3 linked regions of the Alligator mississippiensis genome follow. The protein of the gene in region 2 purifies or fractionates together with the protein of the main gene of each other region. This does not show direct contact. Links are inferred from orthologs where the notes say so. Each region holds a gene or a part of one and is shown on either strand. Other genes may lie near its edges.

Region 1 (10,064 bases), on a different chromosome or scaffold from region 2:
CATCATCCAAAACTAGGGGTGCACCAATCGAGATTTTCTTGGCCGATACTGATAGCCAATTATTCACCATGCATATCAGCTGATACTGATCCAATCCTGTACTGATATACAGGACCACAATTGGGCAGCGTAGAGAGCAGTGCCCTGCAGGTAAGTCTGTGAAGGGGAAGGGGCAGATAGAGGCTCCCACAGTGAGGGAGTGGGGCAGGGGCTGGAGCTGGGGCTGCTGCCCAGCCAGGGCAGTGAATGGGATGCCGGGGCAGGGAGTGGGCTGGAGCCACAGATGGCTCGTCCAGGTTATCAGTCCAGGAGCTTAAAAATGGCAGTGGAGGCAGCCGCGCTTAAACTAAAACTTGTCAGATTTGTGCAAGAGGTAGATGCAGGCTGCCTGCTGTGGGCTCAGGACTCTCCACCCTGCTGCCTTTTGCATCAGGAGCCGCGCGCTGGCCACACCACATACCCAAGCCCACCTCGCGGCTGCAGGAACAACTTGCCACCCTCACTGCTGCTGGACAGGCAGGGGTCACACAACCAGCACACAGCTTCTGGGGTAAAAAGGCAGCAGAGCAGACAGCCCTGAGCCCACAGCAGGCAACCCACATCCACCCCGTGCACAAATCTGAGGAGGCACATGCCCCTCCATGCCTCCCCTGGGGAGCATGCGCAGCAGTGGGGAGCTGCCCCTCCCCACCCCCCCGCACTCCCCAGAGCTCCATCCTGTTCCCAGCCCTGGGGTCTCATTCACTGTCCTGACTGCGTAGCACCTGCCCCTGCTCTAGCCCCTGCCATTCTCTCCCCCCATTTTCTCCCTCACCGTGAGGGGCCTCAATCTGATCCCCCCCCCATGCCCCTTCCCTTCCCCACACTCCTTACCCTCCACAAACTTACCTGCAGGGCTCTGGTCTCCAAGCTACCATGCTGTTTTCTTGGCTGCAAGTATGCTGTGGCTGCGTGCATGCATACAGCATTTATTAGTTACTTTATCAGCTACACCAGCCAAAAAAAAAGCCAATAGCCAATAATGTTAATTTTCCTTTTATCTGTGCTGATCTGATATTGCACCAATATATTGGTGCACCTCTAACCAAAACCATCAATAAAACATTCATAACAGGATCAGGAACAAGAGTAGCCACAAACATATTTGTGACAAAACTTAAATACATGAATAACAGTAAATGAATGAAAGAAACCCCACTTCTGTTAATATTAGGAACAGTAAGACAATTCTGGAAAGCTTTTATACCATAAAACATAACCTTTGTCACAGTTTACCATAGCTTTTCTTCCATTTTCTTAACTGGCTCTACTTAGTATGATACAATTGTACTATTCACGCTGTACTTACAACTCCTGTGTAGTAGCGTAATCCAACTACATTTCCTCGCAGATTTCCAAACAGGACAAACAAATCTAAATCCTCATCTGTCCCTGAAGTGTCATCTGTATACAGAAAGTCTTCAAACCCAAGAGCAGAATCAACATCACCAGAAGAAGAACAGGAATAAGTCCTATTTCCTCCATAGCCTGTAGATGAACCATAGTTTCTGCAAGAGGACACAATGAAAGTTACCTGATAATGTTTTAAAACAGTGGGGCTCAACCCCCTGGCCCATGGGACAGAACCAGTCTGCAAGCCCCATGTCATCTAGCCTTTGGGGATCCCTAAAGGTCTGGAAATTTGACAGTGGAGAAGCAGTGGAACCGGCTGCCTGCTGCCAGATTTCTGAACCCATGGGAAGCCCAGGCAGAGCTGGAAGGGCGCAGTGCCAGGTCCTTGGGCCCAGTACTGACACACGAGGCAGAAAGAGCGGTGCCACACACTTGGGTCCTAATCCCAGCATGCAAGGGATAATGCCAGGTACAAGGGACCCAATCACAGCACATGGGACAGAGAGGGTGCAGCTCTTGGCCCCAGGGCCCAATCTGGCCAATGGACTGGCCTCACACCACTGGTCTGGCCTCTGGGGGGCCAAGAGGCTGAGCAACGTTGTTTTAAAACAAGTGTGAATATTTTAATTACTACCATTTTTTCTTTTATAAGCATCTCTAGTTCTACCCTTTTACAGTAAAATTATACTTACAAAATCAGTTTCACATTGTTTTACCTCACTATTTTCACATAGTTTATACTTACTTTAAAGGAAAGTCAGACATAAAATTAGTTTTACATCAGTTTCACACAATACACAGTAAAAGAGATTTGACAACATAACAGGATCCTGACCTGTTTCAAACTGCTGCTGAGGTAAGTTACATCTCACCTCAAGAACATCAGAGGACTAAATTACCTGTAATTTTTCCTGATGATTGTAAGCAGGGGTGCTCAATCCCCAGCCTGTGGGCCAAATTCAGCCTAAGGAGCCCTGGCATCCAGCCCACAGGGTTATGTGCAACTTGATGAAATTTGTTGGCAAGAGAGCAGTGGCACCCCCCGCCAGGTTTCTTAGCCCTGCGCATCCGGTTCAGGCCAAGGCCATTGCCACACAGCCCATTTGAGGCTCTGGCTGGGCCTGCCCTATGCAGCCCCTGGCAGACCCAGAAATCTGGCACATGGGATCAGGTCCCCCCTCATCCCCACCCCATGCCCATCCAGCCCATGGGATGAAAAAATTGGGCACTGCTCCTTGAGAGGATGCAGTTTTCAGCTGACTACAAGACCACGGCATCAGTACCACATCTGCATTTTAGAATGTATTACATGGAAGGAAACTGGTGATAAGATTTCATTTTCTTTCTATGTCTGCTTTATAGAAACACCAGAAGAATAAAGGAAGAAAGTCTCCAGACAGAGGCAGAAAGGAAAGGGAGAAAACTCTAACTTCTTCCACAGCAGGGAAAATAATGTCTTTTCTTACAGCAACCACAGAAAAGTTGTAAGAAAACAAAATTACTCTATTCTTCTCCCTGCTGCAACTAGGGGGAGGAGGACAGAAAAGAGTGGAGCCATTCCAAAAATAAGTCTTCCCACCCAATATTCTGAAAGGAGGGGGGCAAGCCTAATTTTTTACATGCTTTTCTAATATGCAAACGAGACCCCCCTAAAAAAGATAATTACTGTACATTGACACAAGACCACCTGCACTTCATTTCCTAAAGGAGGCTGGAAAGAAAGGAGCACTGGCTATCACAGAACACTGCTCCTGAATGTCAGTGCCCTCTTATTCTCCCACCTTCATCAAGGCTGGAAAGCATGAAGAAACATGAACCATGTTTCCAACCTTACTTACAAGTCTTTCAAATGAAGCCTGGCCCAGCAGAATCTTTTGAATCCTAAGATTATGCTTTAAAGTGCTCGTGTATGACAGGTGTGGAAATAAAGGTCTCTTGCTGTTTGTGGGAACCGCTAACCAGCCAAAGAGACTCTGCAAGAGGCAAGGATTTTTGTAGGTGCTATCTTTTACTGGACCAACTGCATACTGGGCCCAATAAAACACCATCACCCATGAAACCCATGGCCCCTCCCATGTTATCTGGACCATCATCACACCTTCAGCGCCACTCCTGCACTGCAAGAACTTGCCAGGCCGTCCTGCAGCTGCCTCCCAGCGCGCCCATTTCCGTGCGGGCCTCTCAGTCCCTGTCACTGCGCTACAGCTTTACTGGGGCTTGGTCTGCACCGGCTCTGGTTTGTGCCGTGCAGGGATCGCTGACACCTGCCTTCGGGTATCAAAGGTACGGCCGCGGAGCCACGTCACCCAGCGCCTGGGGCTCGAGGCCCGCGCGCTGCGTCGCCGCACAACTGGTCGCAATGGGGCCCAGGCGAGACGCAGCTCCCAGGGCTGGCGCGGGCCCCGCTCGCCATGTGCAGGGGCCGAAGCATAGGCCCAGCCCGCACGACCCCGCACCCTGGATCAACCCGTAGGGCGGAAGAGTTCAGTGCGCCCGGCCCCCCCTAGGGCAGGGCCAAGGCACCCGGAGCCCCGCCCCGCCAGGCTCGCCCCGCCCCCGCGAAAGACCCGCGGCTCCGTCCCGCCCGCCCCCCGGCCGGCCGTGGGCCTCACTTGGCGAACATCCAGGCCCCGAGGCGGAGAAAGGCACCAGCGCTCACAACCCGCAATCTCCCGCTGCCCCGCACCGGCTGCTTGGCCCTACTGACCGGAGTGACAGCAGCCGACACCAACCCCCGCCCGCGCCTCCAGGGATTTCGACCAATGAGAACAGGACAATGGGGAGGGGGCGGGACTTCCTCTCATTTGCCCGCGCGCTCTCAAAGGGCCTATAAGGACCCGGTCCGGCGCCCGCGGAGGCCTCAGACTAGCCCCGCCCCCCTCGCCCTGCGGGATGGAGTGAAGAAGGGATCGCTCTTCACTGGGTCGTCGTAGCGCTGCTGCTGGCGGCGGGCGCGGCCCTTGCGGCCACATGGCGTGTCGTGCCTGAGGCAGACACGGTTCTTTGGGTCAATACGATATAATTTATTCGACCAACTGAAAAAGTTGGAAAAATTCTTTGCAAGCTTTCCCCCAAGAGCTTGCAAATCATTTTTTCCAACTATTTTAGTTGGTCGAATAAATTACGTCAGATTTACCCAAAGAACCTTGTCTACGTCCTTAGACAACACAGATACAACCTATAGCCCTGATGTTATACCTAACACATACATGACCGGCTGCGTCATATAATGCACTCTCATGTGCAGTGCCAGCTCGGTGCTACCCACAGCTGGGCGTGCCACACAGCCATTGTGAGCCACGCCTGTGTCGCATGAACATAGAAACAGGATGTTTGAGGTCACGTGAACGCATTTTTTTTAAGTTTTTCACAACTCTGAGCGTTGGCGACATAGAGGGTGCATGCGGGTGTGCATCCACCCCTTGAGATTGGCAGTGCACCCCCTGAAAGAAGCGCCGCCACTGCCATGGCACCTGCAGGTGGTCACTACTCACTAACCCCCCACCACCACCATCACCAGCAGCGTCTGCATGTGATCACTGACCAATGGTCAGCACTCACCATGCCTCCGCCGCCACCACCGCTGCCTGTGGGCAGTCGCCATGCCCCCCCCAGCCTCCAGGGCACGTGCAAAGTACTTGCTACAAAGCTCCAAACAGCTATAAAGTTAGACCTTGAAAATGTGTACTAACTTTACAGCTGGTTGCTATCCAGCTTTAATTTACAAGTAGCAGGGTGTCCCCTGCAGCTTGGAGCCCTGTCAGCTGATTATGCCCACCATAAAAGCTCCAACAGCCACAGTCCCCCAGGCCTGGGGTTTTATGGATCCTTGAGCCCATGAACGATGCATGCCTCTGGAGGCTGAGCAGGGCACGGCGACTGCCAGCAGGCAGTGGCAGCAGCGGCAAGCAGGGAGCTCCTGCAGGTGGCTGCTGTGGTGTCAACAGCAGGGGTGGCAGGGTGGTGCTGAGCAGTGACCGCCCACAGGTGCCGCCAGCAGGCGCCGCCAGCAGTGTCAGCAGTGCTTTTCTCAGGACGTGCACTGCCAATCTCAGGGGGCACACGTGCACCTGCATGCACCCCCTATTCATTGCCAATGCCTGAGCCTTGGGGATCACAGCAGCAATGATCTCCCAGGCCCAAGGGTGTGTAGGGTGCCCCCACAGGTGGAAGCTCCTCAAGTGAGGAGGCTCCCAGCTGCAGGAGCTTGCCTCTTACCTGTGCAGGATCAGGCTCCCCCAACACATGCAATAACAAGATCTAATGTGTGATCCCACAATCATGTCTCCTGCCATGCATGCATGGTATGGCAGGAGGCACAACTGTGTAGATCTTGTGTTAGATCTCATGGCACCATTACTTGAATGTGTAGTGAGGGCTAAACACATACTCTTTCTATATACTGGGGATATTGTGTGATGGCGATTTACTTCGTGGAGGTGTTTACTACACTGAACCCCCAACAGCATCATCAAAAGGCAGAAATGTAACTGGGCAGTTCTTGGCCCTCGGATGGTGGTGCATGGGGAAGCTGTGGCAGGTGGCACAGCAGGTAGGAGGGCAGGGGCTGCTATTTTTGTGCCCTCCCCCGCAAGCTGGTGCCCAGGGATAGAACCCCTGGTCACTCCCTAGCTTGCTTCTCAAAAAGAATTGAAAGTTCTCTCCTTGCAGGATTGCAATCTTCGAAAAAATGGTTTCTTTATGGGCTGCACAATAAGTGAAATTGATCTGATGCTGACCACAACTTCTGCCACAGCTGTAACTGACTAAGCTGTAATTCAAATCTAACAGATATCACTGTAATCATGATAAGGAAAATAAAACAATATTTTGTTCCTCCACACACAATTAATGCATAAAAAGAACAGGATAGATTTTTTTTAAAGCTTTTTTTGCTTTCCATGTTATAAAAACCTCCACCATTCAAAGACGCATGTAATTAATTTCAAGAACCAAGTAACTAACTCAAAGGATGTTTTCATGAAGTTTTAAGGAAAAGAATGCTATCCAGTGAAATAATAATTGGTCTCTTAGAAAAGGATTTATAACATTGTCTTCAATGATAAACTTTCCTGCTAGCTAACAAAAATTATTTTGCTTTCTAGCTAGAGATAAAAATCAGTGTCAAAAGAGAAAATTGTTTTTCAACTGTTTACCCATAAAATCTTCCAGTGGTTTACGTGCGGATTAACAATTGGCAAGCATTCTAAACAGTGAAATTAATACATAAAAGTTTGTTGACCATTTAATATCTAACATAACTTCAATTCTTCATTATAGTTAAGCAAATTATGCACTTATCCAATGGGTATACAAGTAGAGAACACCATAGTGCATTTTCACTTCGTTCATAGCACATTTTAGGTCCCACATACAGAAAAAAATTCTAAAAGGCATTTTTCCCAGCTTTTCTGCACAAAAAGTTACAAGCAGATGGGATACCAGGAGGCTACTTGTGAACTAGTCATGAAAATTCTAACAAAGCAATTTCCCATAGGGATTTATCAATTCATTGAAATCAAAGCATTCCACACAGATGGTTCATTTGTTAACAAATTTCAGCCGGCCTTTCATCAAAAAATGGCCTGCTCACATTCCTTACCTGGTAATTTGACATGGAACAAGAATCTGGAAATGACTCTCAACCTCTTAGCACCTCCTATATCGAGGTAGTCCTCAAGATAGACCGAGCCACAGAACTTCCCAAGAGCTTCACAGGCTCAGGGCAGCCTATCAGTCAGTCTGTTTTGGAGTCAGAAACCCATGTGACTTCCAAAAGCTGCTGCTCCATTCCATTTTGCAGAGGACTGTGAAAAATTTTGCTGTCATTTTGAGTCTGAGAAAATCAGAACTCCAAATATCAAAATCTTCTGTAAAACAGAATTACCTTCCCCCTCCTTCTCTAATGCTTATGATCTTACTGTTACCCCATGCTTTCCTTCCTGTGTTCGTTGTAGCCCGTTGTTGTCTTTCGAACTGTAAACTTTCTAAGGCAGGGAATTTCTAATATATGTGTATAGTTTGGAAAAAATTGACTGAGGCCTCAAGACATCATCATAATCACTGCCATATATCAATAATATAAGGGCAGGATTGCAGCTGCTCTCTCATCCAGAATGAACAGCACAGCTATAAAAAACACAGAGGGGAATACAAAAATATGTAGCAGATGCCAAACAGTTTAGGTTCACCCTTAGTATCAGAAGTAATTTCCCCACACATTTGTTTTTTAATGAAGTTTTATTGTCACTTTTTTGGAGAAAAAAGGCATGGGAGCAGCTGAAGCTGCGGTGTATACAAGGGCTAGGTATAGACATTCAAAGAGCCCAAAGTGGAATCAATCAAAGTTATGCAGTTTTCTGTAAATGGCATAGTTTAAATCAGTAACGAACAGGATGCACCCTTTCTTGGGGGAGGTAGGGGGGAGGAGAATTTTAGACTTGGTTCCATCATTTTTACACCAGTCTATGCATGCTGAACTTCTGCTCTGTTATGAATATAGTTTGATTTCCAGTCACTTTGGGTACCTGTACAGGAGTGCAGAGGCCGTTCCAACACACTGTAATCGATTAATTAAGTCTGCTGCAGTGTGGTAATTACCGTGCTCCAGCAGCCTCCCATATCTCATATATCAGCATCCCCGTGCTTCAAAACAGCGGCAGGGGTGCTTTAACTAAAGCTGCTGTAATTAAAGCAATGCCCGCCCCATGTGTAAAAGTGCCCTTATAATGGTAAAAGTGTGATGTTTGTACCTGGCCAAAGTCCCTACTCAGGCTGAAAACTACAGCCTATATTTTGAGGCTTTTATTCAGATTCATTTGAAAAAATTAAATTCATAGTGGAAAAGGAAAAACATCCTTATTCTTTAAGCCAATAAAAAAAAAATTGTGGAGTTTTGTAGAGATTAAAAGAAGCAGCCAAATCAGCATGTTAAGTGAATCAAACATAATCCTTCCTATTATTAACTTTTAAATTTTAGTAAATAAGAACATTGCAATAAATAAAAAATAATAATTCATTTCCCATCTGAGAGAATCTGCTCAATGTTTCACACAGAATTGACACAAGATGGCACTGTTTTGCAGCTTTTCTTTATCAATGGCTTCATCATCTGTAACTTTTGCCTTTGAATCCAATGAATCCAATCTCATCTCCTTCTATGACCAGGTCTCTCACCACCTGGACATGGGAAACAAGGTAGAAGGTATATACCTAGACTTCCAAAAGGCTTTTGATCTAGTATCCCATGATATCCTCGTGGGAAAACTGGAAGACTGTGGGCTCAGCTGCTTGATGGTTCAGTGGGTGGGAAACTGGCTACAAGGTAGGACCCAGAGAGCTCTCATGAACAGATCTGTGTCATCCTGGTGTGAAGTGGCCAGTGGTGTCCCTCAGGGGACCGTACTTGGACCGGTACTTTTCAACTTCTTTATCAATGATTTGGATGGGGGAGTGAAAAGCTCACTGGCCAAGTTCACAAACACCAAGTTATGGGGCAGTGTGATCATGTCAAAAGATAGGTTGCAGAGACAGACAGACCCAGACAGGCTAGAGTTGGGCAGAGTGGAACCAGATGAAGTTTAATACTTGCAAGTGTAAGGTGCTCCATCTGGAGGCAAACAACCCTCAACATACATACCACTCAGTGGTAACAGCTTGACTTGCACCAGGGCCGAAAGGGACCTAGGAGTAATGACTGATCATTGCATGAATATGAGCAATCAGTGCAAGGTGGTGGTCTGTAAATAATATGCAGGGCAAATAACATGCTGACATGTGTCAACCAATGCATCTTGTGTAAAACTAAGGACATGATACTCCTGCTGTACTCAGCACTGGTGAGACCACAGTTGGAGTACTGAGTCCAGTTCTGGGCACCACGCTTCCATAAGGATGTGGAAAAACTTGAGAGGGCCCAGAGAAGAGCCACCCGCATGATCAGGGACTTGCAAGGCAAGCCATACGAGAAAAGGCTGAGGGACCTGAGCCTCTTTAGCTTAAAGAAGAGAACGCTGAGAGGGGACTTGATGGCGGCTTACTATCAGAGGAGTGCATCAGGAGCTCAGTGAACAACTGTTCACTGGGGCATCCCCAGGGAAACCAGGATCAAAGGATACAAACTCCTGGAAGGCTGCTTCAGGCCTAATACCAGGGAAAACTCCTTCACAGTCAGGGTGTCCAGACTGTGGAATAAACTCCCTCCAGAGGTGGTGCAGTCACGTATCCTGGAGGTTTTCAAGAGGAGACTGGACAGTCATCTCATTGGGGTCACTTAACCCCAGTTGTCTTCATACCTAGTATGGGGGCCTGGACCCGATGATCTGCAAGTTCCCTTCCAGCCCCTAACAATCTATGAATCCAGTGGAGAGATTTAAAAATTTTATTACAGCATGTTAAAAATGGTAGTTACTTACATGGTCTTGTATAGATGGGAGCAAATATAAGATCCCATGCATGGCAGCTACTTGGCACATTGTTGGTATAAGTTGATGCAATCTAGAACATGCACTTAGTCATGCAATCTGCATTAGCCCCGGGGTAAATGAGGTAAAAGTATTTCAAATTGTAGCTATGCAGAGAAAAGAGACCAAGACTCCACACGTGGTAACCACATTGGCACAGAGTTGTGAGGTAATAACATATTCTTAGCAAAAGGTTTAGCAAGTGGTGTA
Region 2 (10,252 bases):
CTTTTCCTTTTTTCTAAGTGTATGTGATACCACATCAAGAACGCTACAGTAAATACGTTTTATTTATCAAGGGCTCAATGGAGCAACTGAGGAAGTATGGAAAAACGTCTCTAAGTCACCTGCCCTCTTATCTGATTCTGTATCAGGTGGGTGTCAAAATGGCCCTTTGAGTCACTTAGTAAGGCCACATTTACATGAGATATTTACTACGGAGTAGACTACTAAACACCACAGTAAATGTCTCTGCATCTACATGTGTAGTCCTATTAGGCCACAGGAAACTAATAAACTCTACAGCAGGATAGTACTTGTAAAGAGTTTTGTTTTTTTTTCCATGTGCAGCACTGCATGTGTAGAGGCTGACCCAGCTGGCTGGGGCACTAGAGTGATTTAGTGCAGGGACTAGTCCCTCACTGAAGCACCCTTGTTCCCCAGCCATCCCCTCTGCATCACATTGAGCAGGGTTTGAGCAGCCTCAGGTTACAGGCTGACCCACAGGCCCCTGCCAACTGGGACTGCTCCAACCTAGCTCAAGGTGCTGTGTTCCATATATAAACATGGTGTCCAGGAGCAATAAACTTACGCGCAATATGCACCAGAGTTTATTGGTACGCATTAATATGCATATGTAAATGCACCCTGTATGCATGCACCTCCTAGTTATGCTTGCTGCAGTCAGATGCTGGCCCATTAAGAGAATGAATGGAAGCAAGGGTGTAGGTTGTAGCTGTGTTGGTCTAAGGACATTGGCAGACGATGTTCTTTGGGTGAATCTGGTATCTTTTATTAGATGAACTTAAATGGTTGGAAAACAATTTTTAAGCAAGCTTTCGGATTCAAAAACCCTTCATCGGGCTAAGGAAGTTTCAGTAGTTGGTGTGTGCTCTTCCTGGATGGAATGAAAAGTAAAGAAGCCAGAAGCTGGGCTGGTATGCATACAAGATAGGTAATCAGTGAAGATGAAGTTTGAGGTGTCAATGGGTGAGAGACAGGCTGGGTGGGGGGGAGAGAAGGGGGAAGGACAGTGGAGAAGTACCTGGGGAGTCAGGACACTCCTCCAGAGAGATAGATTGCATGTTTGAAAGAGCCACCCGGATACCACGTGAAGAACTGCTGCAGTACAGAATAAACCCCACCACAAATCACACACTGCTGGTTATGATATATCACCCCTCCCTCGAACCCATATGGAAAATCCTCAAACAATTGCAACCCATACTAGAGAGAGACCCTATTTTTAAAGAGATCTTCCCAGAACCACCCATCCTAGCCTTCAAACAAGCACTGAACCTCGCTAACCTCATCACCAGAAGCAAAATTCCTCAGACCCAGAACACACCAAATGGATCCAGACCATGCCATGACAAGAAATGCTAAACCTGCCAACACATCTCCACCACCCCCACTATTACTACACCCCACAACAGAGCCATCAGTATTCCCAGATCTTATAGCTGCACCTCCAGAAATGTAATAGATTTCATCCAATGCACCAAATGCCCTGATGGAAAATACGTAGGAGAGACCAAACAACAGCTGTGCACTGGAAACCTATCAAAGACAGGAATACTCAATTACCTGTGGAGGCACATTTCTCACAAGAAAACCACTCTCTCTCCAATCTCAGTCCTGATCCTTAAAGGAAACTTACAAAACACTTCCCAGAGATGAGTCTATGAACTCCACTTCATCATCCTCCTGGATACAAAAAATCATGGACTAAATATAGACATTGGATTTACGGCACATTATAACCTACCTGACATCTGACTCCCCAGGTATTTCTTCACTATTCATCCCCCTTCTCTCCCTCCCACCCAGCCTGTCTCTCACCCACTGACTCCTCAGTCTACATCTTCACTGACTGCCTGTCTTGTATGTATACCAGCCTAGCCCCTGGCTTCTTTACTTTTCATTCCATCTAGGAAGAGCACACATCAACTGCTGAAACTTCCTTAGCTTGACCCAAAAGTTTGCTTAAAAATTGTTTTCCAACTATTTAAGTTCGTCTAATAAAAGATATCAGATTCACCCAAAGAACCTGAACCTTGTCTGCCTCTGAATGGAAACAATGCACTCGGCTTTACCCTTTCTCAGACGAGGTCATTCCTCCCTACCCTAACTCTGTCCACTACATGACATGAAGAGAGAACAGCTGGCTATTTGCTACTTGACACAAAGGAAATGCTAGGAGGAATACTGGTGTCTGCTTTGTACTAGAAATTAGAGTAAGAGGCAAAATACTGAGCCTGAAAGCTGTAATATTAAAACAAATGCTTGCTTTGTTCATCTGAATGACATGGTATCTGAATGATACAGCTTAGAAAAGCTGAAAACATGCAACATGAATATAAGTCCCTGTCCGTGTTTTATGAGCCCCTGCTTATCACTCAGTAGATTTTTTTCCTCTAAATATTGCTGTAACTACTCAGTTGGTTTAATAAAAGATATCACATCTACCCAAGGAAGCTTGCCTGCCATATTATACTAAGATTTTTCTCAAATGTATTTGTTTTCCTTGGCACTGAAGTCTAACCAAATGTGGATGATTTCCAGATCTCTTTTTTATAGTTTCAGAAGGTTGTGGTCCAAGATCCTCCAATTCTTTTGTACTGCGTTTTTAGTCCAAAATGGTTCTGACCATAAGAAGACCATTCCATTATAAAGAGAGTCTGGTGGCAGAGAGTCAAAATTAGAGCTTTTCTATCACTTTCTCTCCCTATGGCCTAACAATCCCAGTTTTCTTTGGAACTATTGTTAACTAGTGTGTAGTGGTCTTCAGATGTGATTCATAAGATGGTATCACTTAGACACCATTACATTCATTTACATCTCCTGAGAGGCAGATCCAGAAGGATTGTAGTGGCATGGGCAAACACCCCTTTTGGACTACACCACACTAGCAACAGCAGGGACATTTTTTTAAATTTCCAAATCAGATAAGAGTCATACGCCCCTCACTCCCCACCCTACCCCCCACTCCTGGCATCTGCTTTGTTCATCTCTGTCCGTAGCAGCATGTCCTTTCCTCTCCCATTCACTCCTATCCCTTGCCTACCACTACAACCATCCCTGGCTGATGGAGGCAAGCCTAGGGTTACTATATGGCCAGATTTTCCTAGACATGTCCTCTTTTGGCCCCCATCCTCATGTCTGGGTGGGTTCTTAAAATGCGAGCAAATGTCTGGGTTTTTTGCTTTGCCTCTGCTTTTCCCAGGCACAAGCAGCTTGGATGTTTGAGGCTGGGAGCAGCGGGCAAGCTGATTGGCTGTCAGGGGTCACGTGCTCTGTGCCCACACTCCGGCAAGTAAGTAAGTAAGTAAGTAAGTGTGTGTGTGTGTGTGCTTGTGCATGCAGGCAGGAGCTCCATGGGCAGAAGGGCTGGGAGGACAGGGGACTCTGGGTTGAGAGTGAGGGGCACCAGCAGGGCTGGGGGGACAGGGCTGTGGGTTGGGAGTGAGGGGCTCTGGCAGTGCTGGGGGACAGGGGGTTGCAGGTCTGGAGTGAGGGGCACTGGCAGGGCTGGGGGAGCAGGGGCTTAGGAGTGAGGGGCAGAGGCAGGGCACAGGCATATCACTGCCCCCTCAACAATCAAATACCCTTGCCCCCTCACCCCCCTCAGCTCACTTCGCCCTCCCCCCCCCCCCGTGTCTTTTTTGATCCTGAGAATATGGTAAACCTAGGTAAGCCCCAGAACTGTGCCCGCCCCATTCCAGCTAGGAACAGCAGTGGCAGCAGCAACAGGCAGGTTTTTCCTCTCTATCTGATGTCCCTCCTTTCCCCCATCCCCCCTCTATCCCCGCCCCCCACGATGTTCCTTGCCAACACAGGAGCAAGCACCTGGCAGAGGAACCCACAAGCTGCTGCTGCTGCCTCCTGCTGAGCCCAGCTCCAATTACTCTAAAGTTCCTCGCCCTACAACCCTCCCAAGCCACACCCCTTCCACTTGATTTCACAGGGGGGAAAGGCTCCAGAGCTGCTGCAACTGAGCTGAGCAAGGGACAGCAGCAGCAGCAACACTGGATGGGTTCACCACTCCACACCTGCTTCTTGCTGGCAGGGAACTCCTTGGGGCACCAGGCAGAGAGAAGGAACCTGCCCGGTGCTGTCACTGCTGCTACTGTTCCCAGCAGCAATGCAGTAGTGGTGACTCATCAGCCAGGAACAGCAGCAGTGGTGAGCAGGAGAGGGGATGGGAGGGGATTTACAGCTGAGGATAGAGGAGAAGAGAGGCGGTGCTGAGAATGGATGGAGAGGCACAGGATTTTTACCTGGTCTGAGGGCTTAAAAAAAGACCCCACTGCTGCTCCCGTGGTATGATCTGCCCTCCTGGTGGGGGGATGCAGCCAAGATCAGGGTTCAGCTACTCCTACAGTACTGGTCACTGCTCCTGTACCCTCCCCCCCTTTTCCCAAAACCCCTGTTCCACCAGTGTTCATAAGACTCTAAGTGAATGTAGGTAGAGCTAAAAGAGTCTGCTTGTCTAAAACCCCCTTGTCTGCTTGGGGTTCCATCACTAAAATTCAGGTTTCACTTGGATTAGTTCACATAATTCAAATTCCTGCTTTGCCATGTCTATACTTGCTTAAGTATAATGTCTAAACTTACTTGCCTGCCCTGGTGCAGATACACTGATTGCTAGCCACCAATTGCTGAATCAGGACTATACAAACACAAGGCCTAAGTTAGTGAAAGGGAATCTAACTTCCTGTACCTTAGGCATCATTTTTATATTTAGCTTATAGAATACTCAATCCTATGTTCTAAATGTCTTCTCATTTAACAGCCTTTCATTACATTTGCCATTTATATCATAACCTTTGCATACCCATCTCACTCCTTCCTGACCCATTCCCTGTCAATAAAAGATACAGTCTGAATACTGAATTGCCAACCCCCAAGTACTCCAAAATCATGAGTCAGGCATCCTTAAAGCCTTAACATTTCACAAATAAAACATTTCACCTTTTCTCCTCCAAGTTCTCCTCCTCAGTCTTCATCCGCCTGGCTTAATGATTTCAAGCTTACTTCTTTCTTCAAAAGAGAGAAGGAATTTATTTTTCAGTTGAGAGTCTCACGTTATCACAGGTCTCCAGAAGTTGGCACTCTGTAAGAACTACCAGATATCAGAAGAAATGGCAACACAATAGGTCTTAGATAGAGGCCATAGTGAATGCTAAACGAACAACAGACACTGCATTTTTTGTTTTTGTAATAAGAATAGCACTCATTGGGTGTGTCCATACAATCATTTTCCAGGAAACTGTACATCAGCATGTTAGACTTCCAGCTGAGGGAGATATTTAAAACAGGAACACAGTATTGAAGCTTTTATAAATATCCAGCAACACAATTCATTGCTAACGTGTTTGCAGAGGACTCAAACTCTTTCAACCACGCCCTACTCACCAGATATATGTGCTACTGAACTCTTGGCTGAGTTCCCAATTCTTGAAACAGAACAGTTGACTACATAGGTCTAATAGTGCAGTCCCTTGTGTCTGAAACAACAGACTGTTTCTCAGGGAAGTGCTATATTTATGGCTACATTTAGAATGTTTACAGTTTTACTTTTATAAAATGATCACTGATGTGGCTCCATGCAGTGTTTGTGAAGAAAAGTAAAAGAAAAGCAGATAGACAAGAGAAGGAAACATAAAGCACAAAGGAAACATTGAAACAAAGAAACTGTAACAATCTTCCTGTTCACCCTAAGCTTAAAACATGATTGCTTAGAATTTTAGCAACTGAGAGGGAAAGACAAAAACCTGTTTCCATAAGATATCCTAAAAAGCCATATGGGAACACCAGAAAAGCTTGTTCTCCTGAGCTCTTACTAACACCTTCCATTGCTGTGGTAAAATTCAAACCTTAGGACATAAAAGCTAATTGACAGAACGTGCCAGCTGACTAGTGTTTTATGAGTGAAATGCTTTTGCTGTTTTTTCATAAAAGATATAAGGACATTTCACACTGGATATTCCAGTGAATATGGTGGGGTTTTTTTTAAATGAGGCTTTGGACAGAGGAACAAATTATACTAAATTAAAACGGGTAGAGTAGGGTGGCAGTTTACCACACATCAGATGTTTTCCAATAACTTTTCTTTTTTTTTTTTTTAGTGTTGTGTTCTAACCTACAAAATTTGAAGCTAATCTGTGATGCCATAGGGTAAGCGGCCTCAGTTTAGTTTCTACCTTCTGAGGGACAAGATGGACATGCAAAAACAAAATGAAAGCAGGGGGTACATGGCAGGATGCCCTGCTTGTGCCCGTTTCCCTCCCACCCAAAGCCCCTGCCCTTCAGCCCTGCTGCCCTTGCCCCCCAGCCCAAAGCCCTGTGCCCCCCAGCCAAGGCCCCTGCCCCCCAATCCCGCTCATGACCCTTGCCTCCCACCCAAAGCACTTGTCCCCCAGCCCTGATGCCCCTTGCCCCCCAGCCAAAGCCCCTCTCCCCCAGCCCAGGGTCTGTGGCTGTCAACAGCTACCCAAAACCTGGGCCAGCTGCAAACTGCAAAGCAGAATTGGAACCCGGAGCAGCAGGACACAGTGGGATGGGGGGCAGAAAACTGCCTGATCAGAGCTCCCTGCTGCCCTGCCACACTTCCCCTGTGTGTATGGGAGCAGAGTGGGCAGCAGCGCAGGGTTGTGCCCCTCACTGCTGCCCCCACCTGCAGGGGAAGTGTGGCAGGGCAGCGGGGAGCTAGGAACAGGCAGCTTTCTGTGCCTCCCCTCTGTGCCCTGCTGCACCAGGTTCCAACCCTGCTTTGCAGAAGTGGCAAGGGCACCACAGCAGGGAGAACTGCCATTATCTGCTGCCTCACTGGAGGCAGAGGCCTGGTCTGGGACTGGGAGGCAGCTGGGGCTGGGGCCAGGGCAAAGAGGCAGCAAATGTTTGCAGATGGCCCAGGTTCTGGGTAGCTGCTGATAGCCACGGAGCCCAGGCTGCTTGCAGCAGGGCTTCCATGGGAGCAGCCCCAGGCTCCTTGACTATCAGCTGCTACCCAGAGCCAGGGCTGACTGCAGCCAGGAGGCTACAAATAGCTGCTGCCCTCCTGCCCCGGCCACAGCCTCAGCTGTCTCCTAGCCCCAGGCTCCAGGAAGGCAGCAGGTGCTGGCCCATTGGGGCTGGGGAGGCAGCAGCTGTTTGTACTCCCAGCTGCAGGTGGCCCCGACTCTGGATAGCTGCTGATAGCCATGGAGCCCAGGCTGCTCCCAGCAGGGCTTGTTGAGCTGTCTGCTGGGAGCAGCTCTGGCTCCTGGCTGGCAGCATCTACCCAGAGCTGGGGCCGGCTGCAGCCAGGAGGCTGCAAACATCTGCTGTCTCCCCTGCCCCAATGTGTGTCGAGGAAAATGGCCTCATGTACCATGATCAGCACGCGTGCTGGGGGTTGCTGACCCCTGATCTAGATCATCCCAGCCAAGGCTTTGTCTAGCCAGGTCTTAAAAACCTCCAAGGATGGAGAGTCCACAACTTCTCTCAGCAACCTGTTCCAGTGATTTACTACCCTCCCAGTGAGAAAATTCTTCCTAATATCTAACCTAAGCTTCCCTTGCTGCAACTTGAGACCATTGCTCCTTGTTCTGTTATCCCCCATCACTGAGAACAGTCTAGCTCCATCCTCTTTGGAGTTACCCTCCAGGTAGTTGAAGGTTAAATCCCATCTCAGTCTTTTCTTCTCTAGACTAAATAAACCCAGTTCCATCAGCCTCTCCTCATAAGTCATGTGCCAGCCCCCTCACTATTTTCATTGCCCTCCACTGTACTCTCTCTAATTTGTCCACATCCTTTTTGTAGTGCAGAGCCCAAAACTGAACACAGTACTCCAGATGTGGCCTAATCAGTGTTGAGCAGAGGGGAATAATCACTTCCCTTGATCTGATGGCTACACTCCTACCAATGCAGCACAGGATGTTGTTAGCCTTCTTGGCAACAAACACACTGTTGTCTCATATGCAGCTTATTGTCCACTGTAACCCCCAGGTCCTTTTCTGCAGAGCTGCCACCCAGTCAGTCAGCCCCCAGCCTGTACCGGTGCATGGGATTGTTCCAGGGCTTTGCACTTGTCTTTGTAGAACCTCATGAGATTCTTTTGGTCCAATCCTCGAATTTGTCTAGGTCTCTCTGAATCCTAGCCCTACCCTCCAGCATATCTACTACTTCCCGCAGCTTGGTGTCATCTACAAACTTGCTGAGGGTGTACTTTATGCCATCTTCCAGGTCACTGATAAAGATATTGAACAAAACCGGCCACAGGACTGACCCCTGGGGCACGCTGCTTGATACTGGATGCCAGCTAGACATTGAGCCATTGATTGCTACCCTCTGAGCCCAGTGACCCAGCCAGTTTTTTATCCACCTTACAGTCCATTCATCCAGCCCATACTTCCTTAGCTTACCTCTGAGAATATTGTGGGGGATCACATCAAAAGCCTTGCTAAAATCAAAATATACCACTTCCACTGGTCTCCCTGCATCTACAGAGCTAGTCATATCATCATAGAAGGCAATCAGGGTGGTCAGGCATGACTTGCCCTTGGCAAATCCATCACCTAATCACCTTCCTAATCACCACCTTCTCCAAGTGCTTAGAAATAGATTCCTTAAGGATCTGCTCCATGATTTTGCCAGGGACTGAGGTGAGGTGAGGCAAACCATGCTAATTATGCTGTTTCAATTTAAAAGCTATTAATTCATTGAAAAATACCTGTAGATATTTCATATGATGGTTTCATAAATGATTCACTCCTACAGCCATTGCTGTGGTGAGCATTTCAGTTGTCCTCATTAAGAGTGCATCTACGTGACAAAATGCAGTGTCATGTAGATAGACATACACTAGCTTATTTAAAGATGAACTGAACAAGATGACTCAAATTCCAGGAGATGTATAATTGTGTTACCTTGAAAAACAGGATAAATGAGTCAGGGCAAAGCTACCATGTTACTACAGTCACACTGCTTCTGGTACCCGAGTTATTTTGTTTTGAGGCAGCTCAAGCTTCTGTACTCAGTGCTTTCTGCCATATAGATAAACTGTCACATTGTTCACACACATGGATTACAGAATCAATTCCACTATCAAGCACTGTGCCTGTTGTTTAGTATACAAGCCATCAGGTATGTCTGTACCACTTCCCTAACACCCTTGAGACTGCCTTCATGCACCCATTCCCACACACATAGGCAACTGGTAGGGGTGGCATGGGGAAGCCTTCCCAGGCAGGGCCATCCCTTGCTGCCACCACTGCTGACGGCTTCTGTGGGTGCCCCCTGCAGACTCAGGAGGCATCAGTCACCCATGCCCAAACAGCAAGTGCCAAATCCAGAAATGAGTTGGTTAAACCCTGGTTGTTCCTCTCATACATACTAAGCACAGGGAGCTTGAGAGCAGAGGTGAAGGCTGTGTCTTTTGCTATCTTTTGTCTGTTGTTTAGGACTTAGACCTCTTAGGGGCAGGGATCTTCTTTACATTGTGTGTGTATACAGTGACTAATGCCAGGGGTCTCCAAGTTGCCACTTGTATGGCATCACCTGCATACTCACTATAATGGGCTGAGGAATGATACCGAGAGTATAAGGCTGTTGTTCCAGAAGCATAAAGCCAGTGTAGGGACTTGTTCCCCAGCCCTACCCCTTGCTAATAGAGTGGGCTATAGCCATCAAAAAGGTGGCATTGCTGGGATGCCTTTGTTTGCACATCATCTGAAGCTACATATTTTTTGTTTGCAGCAGCTGTTTCAGCTGTGTGTAAGCTGGAGCAGTCCCCTGGCTTCAAGCAAATTTAACTCAGTGCTGGTGGACTGGACCTGTGCAGAGTTCTGTCAGAAGTTGGGGGTGCAGCCATGGGGAGCTATCAGTTCCTTTTGCATACATGTTCCTTTTATTGCAGGCTATAAATTTATCTTTATTCCCTGGATTTAGCCCCCATCTTTCAGAAACTAACAGTCCTGTGCACAAATGTTGTGCATTTCTTTGAATGAACTCCATTAGGTCTCCACGCCAAAGTGGCTAGCTCTATTTTAAGAAACACAAGCAGGAAGTTATTTACCTGTTGTCAGTCACCCAGAGAGTCTGTGCAGGAAAACATACTTGCCTGGACCCCTAGATTACTTCTTTCACAAGACATGGGAGGGAGCAGAGGGAGGAAGGAAAGGGGGAATCAGGCTGTTCTCCACTCATATTGGTTTTATACCAATGTCATTTTAATAAGTGGCTTGAAGTTAGTCCATGTGTCTGTTGTCCATGATTC
Region 3 (10,013 bases), about 140 Mb from region 2:
ACATTCCAGGAGGACCAACAAAATCCTTCACTGAAAAAAGATGCTGGATATCCTTCCCAGTTTTTTCTGCCTCTGCACAAGACAGAACTGCCTTCATAATCTTTATAGGATGGAGAGGGAAGGAGTACTGTGAAAGAGAGCGAAGTCATCGCAATGGAGTTCTCTCTTACTTCCTCACCCCACCATAAATATCTGAATATCCTTCTCACAATAGATGGCAATGTATATTCCCTGAGCCATGCCTCACAATAAATAAATTCTTGTTGATTTACATCAGTTCACTTCATGGCCTGATCAGTTATCACATCCTCCTGAGAGACAGCAAATTCCCACAATTCAAAAGCAGTCTTTTTCTTCTAACACTCACGCAGTTTTAAAACACATGAATAATAGCCACACCATCAACTGATCTAGTGCACACAGGTCTGCCTTACACACACAGATGTAATGGTGTTCTCCTTACCCGATCCGTGTGCACACAGTAAATACACTTGTGTGTGGGCAGGCTTAATTTGGACCTTAACCTTTGCCTCCAGTGGGATGTTGAGCATTGAGGTTACAACAATTAACAATGAAAGCCAGGAGAAGTAGGGGGCAGCTGTGCCAGGAGTCACCCAGTACTATGCACCCTACCACAGGGGACATCCCAATACACAAGGTTGCACAGAAAACCATGCATTAGCTGTGAACTGTGCCTTTCTGTGCCACAAACTTGATGTTTCAGTGTCTTGCCTTTAATTTTAAAAAACCATAAGCCGTGTAAGCATATGCTAAGTGATCATTGCAACTCACTGATATGAGAGCAAATGTCTGCATCATAATCCTAAGGCTCACCTCTTTAGTTCCTCCTTCCAGTTGCTCAGTACAGAAAGAGGACAAAGAATAAGAAATGGCCCTTTGTTTATAAAGTTTCCAGACAAATACACAAGCAGAGAAATGGTCTGGAACACAAAGAAAAGAATTGTTGTCAATAATAAGCAGTTCCAAAACAAACCCCACAATCTAAATACAAACCTTCCCTCCAACACCATCTTTGCTGCTGGTTCCTGACAGGCTCACTATGGCAAAACCCTGACCATAAGCACTGCAAACTATGGAAAAGAATTAATCAAATGCACTGCAGCTGCAGTCCAATTCTATCACTAATCTGGGAGCACTCTGTCCCCTACTCAGAAATGTTTTTCCCTTGTAACGTTGAAAGAATGCAATGTACTATATGCTAATTTTAAGTGAGTAATTTGCATAGCACTTAAAATTCAGGGAATACTGTCAGTTGAAGAAACACACCAAGCTCGCTTTGCCAAATTCTTAACAGAAGTGGAATGCTTATTTTGACAAGGAAAAAAAAGGCTATGAAACAGCTATACAAATCTAACCATCTCTGCTCTGAGAACTGAACTTTGTAAAATGATCTACCCAGAGAGTCACGAAAGCAACATCTTATGATACTAATAGCTAGTTGTGTTGTCAGCTAAGCAGGAGCTTCAAAGCAGTCTTCCCCCTAAGAATATAATTTTGCCTTTTATTTTAAAAAACAAAAGTGTTTTAACTGAGCAAGAGCAGAAGGAATCAAGATTTAGGCCTTTTTCTTCTCAAGGACATCAATATTTGGTCCTAATCTAAATAAACTTTAAGGAATTCCTCTCCTACCTCTTGCAGGAACATTGGGAAGACAAAATATAGGCAAAATTGATTGTCCATGGAGAAATAAAAAGAGGCACCTGACAAGTCTTTCCAAGACCCATCTCATCGCCCAGGATGCAGCCATGTTGATCTTCATAACATCGTACTAGCCAGTTCACCCCATCCACTTGGTAGGAACGTAGCTGAATACCTAAAACACAAAAGTGATTTGGTAAAGCTACACAAAACTGTCACACAACCTACTTGGCACTGCATCCTGTAATCCTGCAGATGTAGAAACACAGGGCAGATTAGGCCTACCTACCAAGTCAGCTTTCATGCCAAAAAAATATTTTACAGGTGCTTCGCAATCTGCATTGTTTGTCAATAAGCTTCCAGGCTGAACAAAAAGTGCCAATTTTAACTTTGAAAGCCCTTAATGATTTGGAACTTGCCTCCCTGGCAAGCTGGACTGCTGTGGGTGAGGTGAGTAAAGGTACCAGTTCCATAACCTCCTAGAAATCAAACAAAAGGAAATTGCTTGGGTGTCATCTTCCTTGATAAACCCCTTCCTTGGAGGGCCATGTGCCCTCATGCTGTCAGAACATAGCTTTATCCCTCCTCAGCATGCTGCAAAGTTCAGAATTTCTCTCTCACAGAAGGGGATGGAGTAAAAGCCTTCTGTTAAAAACTGGAGGTGATTTTATTACAAACTGTCCATCTACTTTGAGGATAAAGGATGTTATTGTGGTTAAGGCACAGGACTGGGTGGTAGGACGTGGCCATTATTCCAAATTCTGCGAAATGCTCCCTATGAAATATAGAGCAAAAATCATGCAGGGTTATATCATCACCGTAGCGCAAAGCAGAGCAACCCGACTTAGCTAGTGGTCACTAGGCCTGTGTGAGCGGACAGCTATTCGATCGGGCTTCGGATCCAGCCGCTTTGGATGTCAGGGATCCATTCCGGAGCTCCGGACCGGGTTCCCATTTTGATCCGTCCGAAGCTTATGAGCCGCCTCAGAGATCTGGCCATAGGGTATAATGGGGAATCAATGAAATATCTATAACTTTGTTGCTTTTTGTCTGAAACTTGCAGGGGCGGTAGCCCCTGCTGAGGCCACAAAGCCTGCCAAGTTTCAAGAAGATTGGTGCAGGGGTTTGGGGGCAACTGCACCCCAAATTCTTGAAAGCAAAACTCATGTCATGTGTATGTGTTACACCACAGGGGGGTGAAAACTGCAGGGGTGGCAGTTGCACAAGCACCCATATCACGTAGTTTTGCTTGTCAGCAGCCAGAGGAGCAGGGCTGCAGAACCCCCCTGCACCAATCTCCTCCACAGCTGGCTGCAGTAAAGTCAAGCAGCAGAAGCAATTGGCACTCTATGGATATCAAGGATGGGCAAAATGGTGGACCTGGCCGGTAGCTGGACTTCATTTCCCAGCAGCCCCTGCCCACAAGCCTAGGTCTGGTTTCCATGGGGACCTTAGCAGCCACACTGTGATAGCATGGGGCAGGGGTTTTCATGGAGATCCGCCCCAGCAGTGCTGGCAGGGCACGTGGCAAGACATGGAGATGCTTTGCATTCGGGATGGGATCTTGCAGCCATGGCAGCGTAGTCCGGAGCTGGGGCAGAGTCACAATCTGCAGCCTGTATGCTCTGGGCAGGGGTGTGCACGCAGTGGATCACAGCTCTACCCTAGCTCCTTGCAGCAGTCACAGCGTGTGTGTGTGTGTATTTTTTTCTCCTTTCATTAAAATAACCAAAACCCTCTTCCTTCTCCCAGGTTAGGGAAGCCCATCCTTCTCCACATCAAGCTTACAAGGCCGGTCAGCAGATAAGTTGATTTTGGAGACCTGTTTCATTTCAGAGGTCTCCCTTTAAACAGACCCACTTACAGCAGCTCAGCTCCAGAGGACCTCCACAAAAACAACCTCTGCTCCCTGTTCCACGCAGGCTAAGCAACTGCAGGGAGGTTACAGGACATGTCATGCGGCCAATGAAGCTCCACTGAAGGAATGAAGGTTTTACTTTGGAGCTCCACCCACTACCTGACAGAAGAACCTGGCCCACAAGGTGCATTATGGTTATGTAAGAGAGCAGGGCTGGAAGGGACCTCAAGAGGTCACCTAGTCCAGCCCCTGCTCAAGGCAGGACTGTCAAAGGGGGAGGATTCCACGCAGCACCCTGAGGCAAGGAGGTTGATACTGTCCAACCCTAAAGCCACCGGGCCTGGCCGGCAAGTCCCTGACGGATCCAGCCAAGTTAAGCCCGCAAACAGGCAACCCCTCCTTCGGGGCGGCCCCGCCGGCCGCACTGACCTGCCAGGCCCCAGTGGTACAAGTCCTCCTCCTTCAAGGGCGCGCCGCCTGCCCGCCCTTGGGGCTTACTGCAAAAAGCCTGGAAGAAGCGAGACATCCCGCCGGCCGCCTCCCGCTGCCTCGGCCCGGCAGCCCCCTACCCACCCCCGGGGCAACAGCACCACCCAGCAGCTCAGGCGCCGGAAGCCGCATTGCAACATTGTATCGAGTTGGCTTCGCAGCGAGGCGCGGATTGGCTGATGGCTTGGAACGCTCCCCCCATAGGCCAGTCGCGCGTCAACTGCCATTGGCTGGCTGGGGGCTGGCGGTGGCTGATTGGGCAGTCGCTGTGACAGTACGAGCTGGCGTTCCAATCCGGGGTGCAAGTCAATGCCAGCCGCTCGCTTCGCGCGCCTCCAGCGGGTACCAAGCTTGCGCTCCTGGCCTCCGCGGAGCGGGGCCCACACGGGGGAAGCCGGCAGCAGCAAACGACCCCAAGGGGCAAGTGTCACCAGAGAAGAAGCACCACAGTCCCTACACCCGCACCCCCCTATACCGCCCCCTCCACACACACTCCCTACACCCATACCCCACTATACCCTACACCCACCCTCTATGCCCCCTATACCCGCACCCCTTTGCACCTTCTATACCCACACCCCTCCCCCTACCTATTCTCCCACACCCTCCTACACCCCCTCGCCCCCGTGTAAGGTTGGGGCACGTGAGGCCCAGCGGGGCAGACCCCCGTAGCCAGGAAGCCGCGCGGCCGGCAATCACCCGGGCAGGGGCGGGGGGCGCCTGGCCGTGGCCTGGCGAGAGCAGCCAGTGCTGCATCTGCAGCGGCCCGGGATGTGCCCTGCCCTGCCCGCCTCCCCCGGGCCGCAGCAGTCCCACGTGCTTCCCCGCCACAAATCCCGGCCCCGCCGCTGCCGCGCCGTCGCAGCCCGGGTCTCTCACCGCCCCTGCGCCCTTGCCCTGCCCGCTGGGACCATGGCGCTCGCGCTGCTGCTGCCGGCGGCGCTGCTGCTCCTGCTCCTCCTCTACCTGGGCTTCGTGCGCTGCTTCACCGCCGCCCCCAGCGCCGTCTTCCAGTGCCGGGAGCGGGTCGGGGCCGCTGGGTTCCAGCCCCCGCGGGACGCAGTAAGTAGAGGAGCCCTAGAGGGTGGGCTGGGGGAGGGGCACCTGTGGGGTCTCCCCGGCTTGGTGCCTTTCCAGCTGCAAGCCCTTGTGACTTTTCTCCTCTCCTCTCCTCCCTGCAGTGGGGCCCCCGGCTCTCTGGCCAGCCCCTGCGGCTGCTTGTCCACCTGGCTAACACGGTGAGTACCACTCTGCCCTGTCTGTGCTGCCCGCCTGGTGCCCCCCAGGCAGGGCCCATGCTGTCCTGAGCTTGCTGGGGTAGGTGTGTGGGGGGGGTCCAGCCTACTCCTGTGTGCAGGGCTTAGCCCTGGCCCTGGGCAAAGCTGGTCAGAGCAAGAAAAAACAAACCCTGTGTAAAGGGCAAGGGCCAGGATGGCAGGCACTGCTTAACCCATCCACATCAAAATGCCCCTGACGCTAAGTGGGTAAGACAGCTTCTGCATCTTTGCTCAGGCTGCTCAAGCAGAGCGTTTGATGTGGGTTAAAAGGACACCTGTACCCCGTGAAGGGAAAGGGTAGAACACCACTCCAGAGGCTTGTCGGTCGGGGATTGTTGCTTGTAAGAAATCAGGGGGTCTTGACAGTCCCCCCCCCGGCACAGTAACATCTCTCTGAGACCAAGGGCTAGCGGTAGGAGGAGGGACGCTGTCCAGGTGCAGCTTCTTGTTAGCAAGCTGTCTCCAAGTTCCCAATAATGTGATTACCCCTATGACCACTACCAATCTGCTATGTTTACCACGGTTGTGCCTACGTGGCCCCTATGTGGCTGGCTTGTCCCAGCCTAGCTGCAGACCTGACCTCATAAGCTGGTCCTTTGCAGTGGCCTAGCCAGGGTAGGTAATGCACTCCAGTAGGGAGTGAAACATACAATTTCTTGTAGTCAAGGTTCACTGTAATCATTATTGCTTTTTTTTTTTTTTTTTTACTTACTTATTTATGCATTGTAATGTGGAGTATATGCTACAGACCAAACTATGTTTGTGTTGGCTGCAGGCAGTCTGTTAGCACTGTGAATACCATTGAAATCCCCTGATTATGCCTCAAGGATTCGCCAGGATTTCTTTCTGCATGTGACTTTATCTAAATAGTTGCATTTTCTTGTGATCTGCTGTTTGTTTATAGAACACCAAGTGCTTCTTGTACAAAGATACTGTGTTTGGGCTTCCAGCACTGCAGGCAAGGTTTTTAATCTCCCTCTACCTCTCTAACTTTTATTGAAATAATATGGTTATAGGGGGGGAGAAAAAAACCTCTCAAGATTATATAAAGTCTTGCATCTCCTATTTTATTTTTTTATATCTGTTGTGTAAAGTCTGTTTTGCAGGTATGCAAATTTGGCTTGAACAAAAGGCTGGAGCCCATGGGGGTGGTAGCCTCCAGGTCTCAGGTGTTGAATTTTGCTGCTTTTTTGTTAACTTCATTTTTTTTCATTTAAAAACGGCTGATTATGATATCTTCATTGTTTTAGGGATACAGGTTTTAGCCGTGTTGATTTTACAGGCAAAAGCAGTCGGAACTCTTGGTAGAGGTAATATCTTTTATTAGACCAAGTAGATGGCTTTACAAAAAAGCAAAATTTAGCCTAGTTGACCTAATGAAAGATATTGCCTCAACAAAGAGTTCTGACTGGTTTTGACTGTAGATCAACATGGCTAAAACCTGTATCCCCGAATGAATGTAATCCATATGTTGGCTTTGTGTGTGCGGCTGCTGAAGGCTCCAAAAACAAGAACAGCCTAACTAATCTGCTGCCTGGGGAACAATCTTCTCACCTGGTCTAGCTTTAATGGTACAGATGTTGGCATGTAAACAAGGCAGCAAACAGCAGCCTTTTGCAAAAGGCAGGCTGAATGGCTCCTTATTAGACAGCATCTGACAAAGCAGGCTGTTGCCTCTGAAAGCAGGACAGATGCAACCAACTCTCTCCTCCTAGCTTGCAGAAGAATGTTAAACAGCTCAGTTAAGCAAGGCTGGCAGGTGAAAGAGTTGGGTTTTTGTTTGTTTTGTTTTTTGGAATAAAGCCAAAGCTACCCCTTTACTTGTTCAGGGGACATGGCAATAAAAAATTCAGTGTCTGATCAGTTCTAGTGGGATGTTGTAACGAAAAGCTGTTGATCCACGCATTCTCTAGGGCCCGGTAAAAAGAAATGCTTGTTTCCCACATGTTCTGACATCTGCAGGGAAAGTCTAGAAGTGAAGCCAAGTATAATGGGCAGAAAAGAATCCTGACAGTTAAGCTGGTTTTGACTGTGTTCCCAACCAAGAAACCTAAGGATCTCTGTCCAAAGATTAAACGCTTGCTTCACCAGTTAAGCTGTTCTGGAACATTGATTTATTCCTGCTCTTCTAGTTGTTTCTCCCTCTGAAGTTGGCACAGCCATGGAATTCTCACACAGTGGAGTGCTGACAAACATGAGTTATTTGAGCCACAGTATGAGGTGATTTTGGTATGGGACTCGATGGAAATGTCCCATGATGTTTATTTCAAAACAAATTTCTTGCAGAATGTCTTGTCTTAGCAAGATAATGATATTTTGCCCATGTTGCCACATGTAAAGAACAGGTAGTTTGGGAACTGTCTTCATTCACAACTTAATTTTGTGCATTGACCCTGAGTTTAACAACTGCAGAAGTTAATCAGCTACAGGTTTTGTTAGTGGTGCTGTGGGGAAGCCTCATGATGTATAGTACTGTGGCTAAAGCAGGTGATGTGGGAGCTAGGATTCCTCATTTCCTCTAGCTTTGCCACTCTTGTGTCATGTTCCTTTTTTGTACCTCAGTTTCCCGTTTTTTAAAATGCAGGGGAGTGAAAATATTTCCAAACCTCATGGTGATCTCTCTCTATCCATATTCATGTTGGTAAAATGTGTTGAGATCTCAGAAGCTGTTATAAGTGTAAACCTAATAATCTGCTCTAGCTGTTTATTTCTACCTGCTAAATGCAGGTATTAGAGAAGTGTATAGGAAATTGTAGCAAATAATAATGGTTCTTTTTTTTTTTTTTCCCCCTCACCTTCCTCCCCACCCCACAATGTCTTCCTGTGCTTTTAAGCAGTCTTTCATTTTCAATATAGAAAACAACTGATATCTATAACCTTTAGCACTGACACATTAGCAACAGCGTAAAGACAATTTTGAGTGCCTTGGTTCCTAGTCTGGATCAGAGAAAATTCTAACATGTAAGCCACATTGAGATGTGTAGGGGTGTGTATTTGCAGTGGTACAAATAGTAGCGGCACAGATTTGTGCCACTACTTTTTGTCTCTGCACACACCCTGTATAGGCATGTCCAGACAAGGGGGAACACTTGTTTCTCTGGGGACAAGTAACCTTGTCCCCAGGGAATACCCATGCCATACGCGCTCTGGCGCGTGGTAAGTTATCCTAGGTGGGGCAGGGGAGGCTGGGGCCAACAGTTGTGCTAGCCCCAGTAGCCTTTCCTGGAGGCTTCCTGGGGCTGTCACCTTGGCAGAAAGCCTGGGTGGCAGCTGGAGCATAGCTCCAGCCAGCCAGGCTCTGGTTTTGGGTGGCATGCGTTGCTGCCACATGTACCCACCCCGTTTTGGGGGTTTTCTTGCCTGGGAATCTCCCAGTGTCAACCCCCCCCGTTCTCCCTCACACTGCAAAGTAAGAATATGAGGAACACCTGCATGTGCGGCTCCACATGTCTGTGCTTGTCTGGACGTGGCCTATGTGTGCTTTGTTATGGGATATATTGTCCTGCTTTGGGCAAACTGCCGGAATCCAGCCCTTCCTGTCTCCTGGCATGCTGGAGCAGCAGGGTCGCAAATGGGGTAGTAGAGATGCTCTGGCCAGCTGTCAGAGTGCCTCGCTGGAGGATCAAGCCTCTGTTCTGGCACAGTATTTTCCTATCCTCTGCACTTTTTTTTTTTTTTCCTGGTACCTTTTTTTTTTTTTTTTTTTTTTTTTTTTTGCTACCTAGAAATCCTGGTAGCAATTTTTGCCCCCACCCTGCAAATTTGCAGCACTGGTCCCATTTTAATATTCCAAATGTTTGGTTTGTGGAGCCACAAACTGCACGTGCCTGCGTGTCTGGACATGGCCCTACTGAGCTGATTGGATTGAGAAGGAGGCCAGTTTCACTGGTTTAATAGGGTAAAAGTGTCAGTGGCATTGAGGGGAAACTGCTTGCATATGGAATATGCTAACATTTTTTTTTTTCGTCCAGAATTTGCATGTTCTGCTCAAAGCTGCAGATTTTATTTTTTGGGGTGGAATCTATAGATGTCTTATGGATAACTTAACCTTGTTATCTGGGACTGCATGCTTCTGAGTGATGGGGCAATGTGAGGGTGTTAGCACTGAAGTATTTTTAGTGGAGAGCCTAAAGAAACGCATGAGAAATTCTCACGACTTAGTAAACGGGTTCAGATTTGATAGTGCTAAGCACTGACTTGCTTCTTGATGTTGTATAAATGAGATTCTTGTCTCTCTTTTTAAATTTAATGTTGTAGTAGAATCAAAGCTAAAATAAAACAGTGTCTCTACTGTTTTTTGCTGTGGGAGATTATGAAATTGGAGTAGGCGTGAGCTTGGCCAGTATTCCCAGAGTTGGAGAAAGGAGGTATGGTAGTCGTATATTGTTTTGCCTGTTTAATCTCCTCTGTCTTCTTCTCCAGGCTTTCGGGCAGTTCTGTTTAGTACCATTTTTAATGAGGTAAGAATTTTCTATATCTACACTACATGCTTTGCATTGCCTAACAAATCTGGGTTATCTGGAATAACTTCTTTAGAGGGAGAGGCTGTATAATTAGGGACATTTAACGGAGAGACTAGTGTTGAGTTGCCCAGATCCGCTAAGCATGTACTGGCTCTTTGAATTGCTCTGACCATCGTACTGCCAGGGAGGGTTTAACCCTTTTTTTTCATAGTCCATTTGGAGTATGGAAACTTCACCTGGCTGCTTCTGTGCCTTCTGCATGCATTT

The links.
Region 1: the proteins of RNF146 (region 2) and HLTF purify together in Homo sapiens (affinity purification with mass spectrometry; 4 studies listed by BioGRID and IntAct, with this or other methods). This does not show direct contact. The link is inferred for Alligator mississippiensis from reciprocal best matches to the Homo sapiens genes RNF146 and HLTF.
Region 3: the proteins of RNF146 (region 2) and CHD1L purify together in Homo sapiens (co-immunoprecipitation; 3 studies listed by BioGRID and IntAct, counting the BioPlex papers as one, with this or other methods). This does not show direct contact. The link is inferred for Alligator mississippiensis from reciprocal best matches to the Homo sapiens genes RNF146 and CHD1L.

What each region holds. Positions count from the first base shown.
Region 1 is NC_081830.1:61,037,333-61,047,396, forward strand, and holds the start of HLTF (helicase-like transcription factor), read right to left. Parts: upstream 4,114-10,064; 5' UTR 4,016-4,113; coding exon 4,005-4,015; intron 1,548-4,004; coding exon 1,349-1,547; intron 1-1,348. UniProt on the Homo sapiens protein: Has both helicase and E3 ubiquitin ligase activities. Possesses intrinsic ATP-dependent nucleosome-remodeling activity; This activity may be required for transcriptional activation or repression of specific target promoters.
Region 2 is NC_081824.1:110,582,226-110,592,477, reverse strand, and holds the start of RNF146 (E3 ubiquitin-protein ligase RNF146), read right to left. Parts: upstream 5,124-10,252; 5' UTR 4,966-5,123; intron 1-4,965. UniProt on the Homo sapiens protein: E3 ubiquitin-protein ligase that specifically binds poly-ADP-ribosylated (PARsylated) proteins and mediates their ubiquitination and subsequent degradation. May regulate many important biological processes, such as cell survival and DNA damage response.
Region 3 is NC_081824.1:251,905,659-251,915,671, reverse strand, and holds the start of CHD1L (chromodomain-helicase-DNA-binding protein 1-like), read right to left. Parts: upstream 4,114-10,013; 5' UTR 4,044-4,113; coding exon 3,947-4,043; intron 1,835-3,946; coding exon 1,722-1,834; intron 942-1,721; coding exon 835-941; intron 1-834. Other genes in the region: uncharacterized protein LOC102572765, read left to right, coding at 4,778-5,068, 5,188-5,244, 9,706-9,743. UniProt on the Homo sapiens protein: ATP-dependent chromatin remodeler that mediates chromatin-remodeling following DNA damage.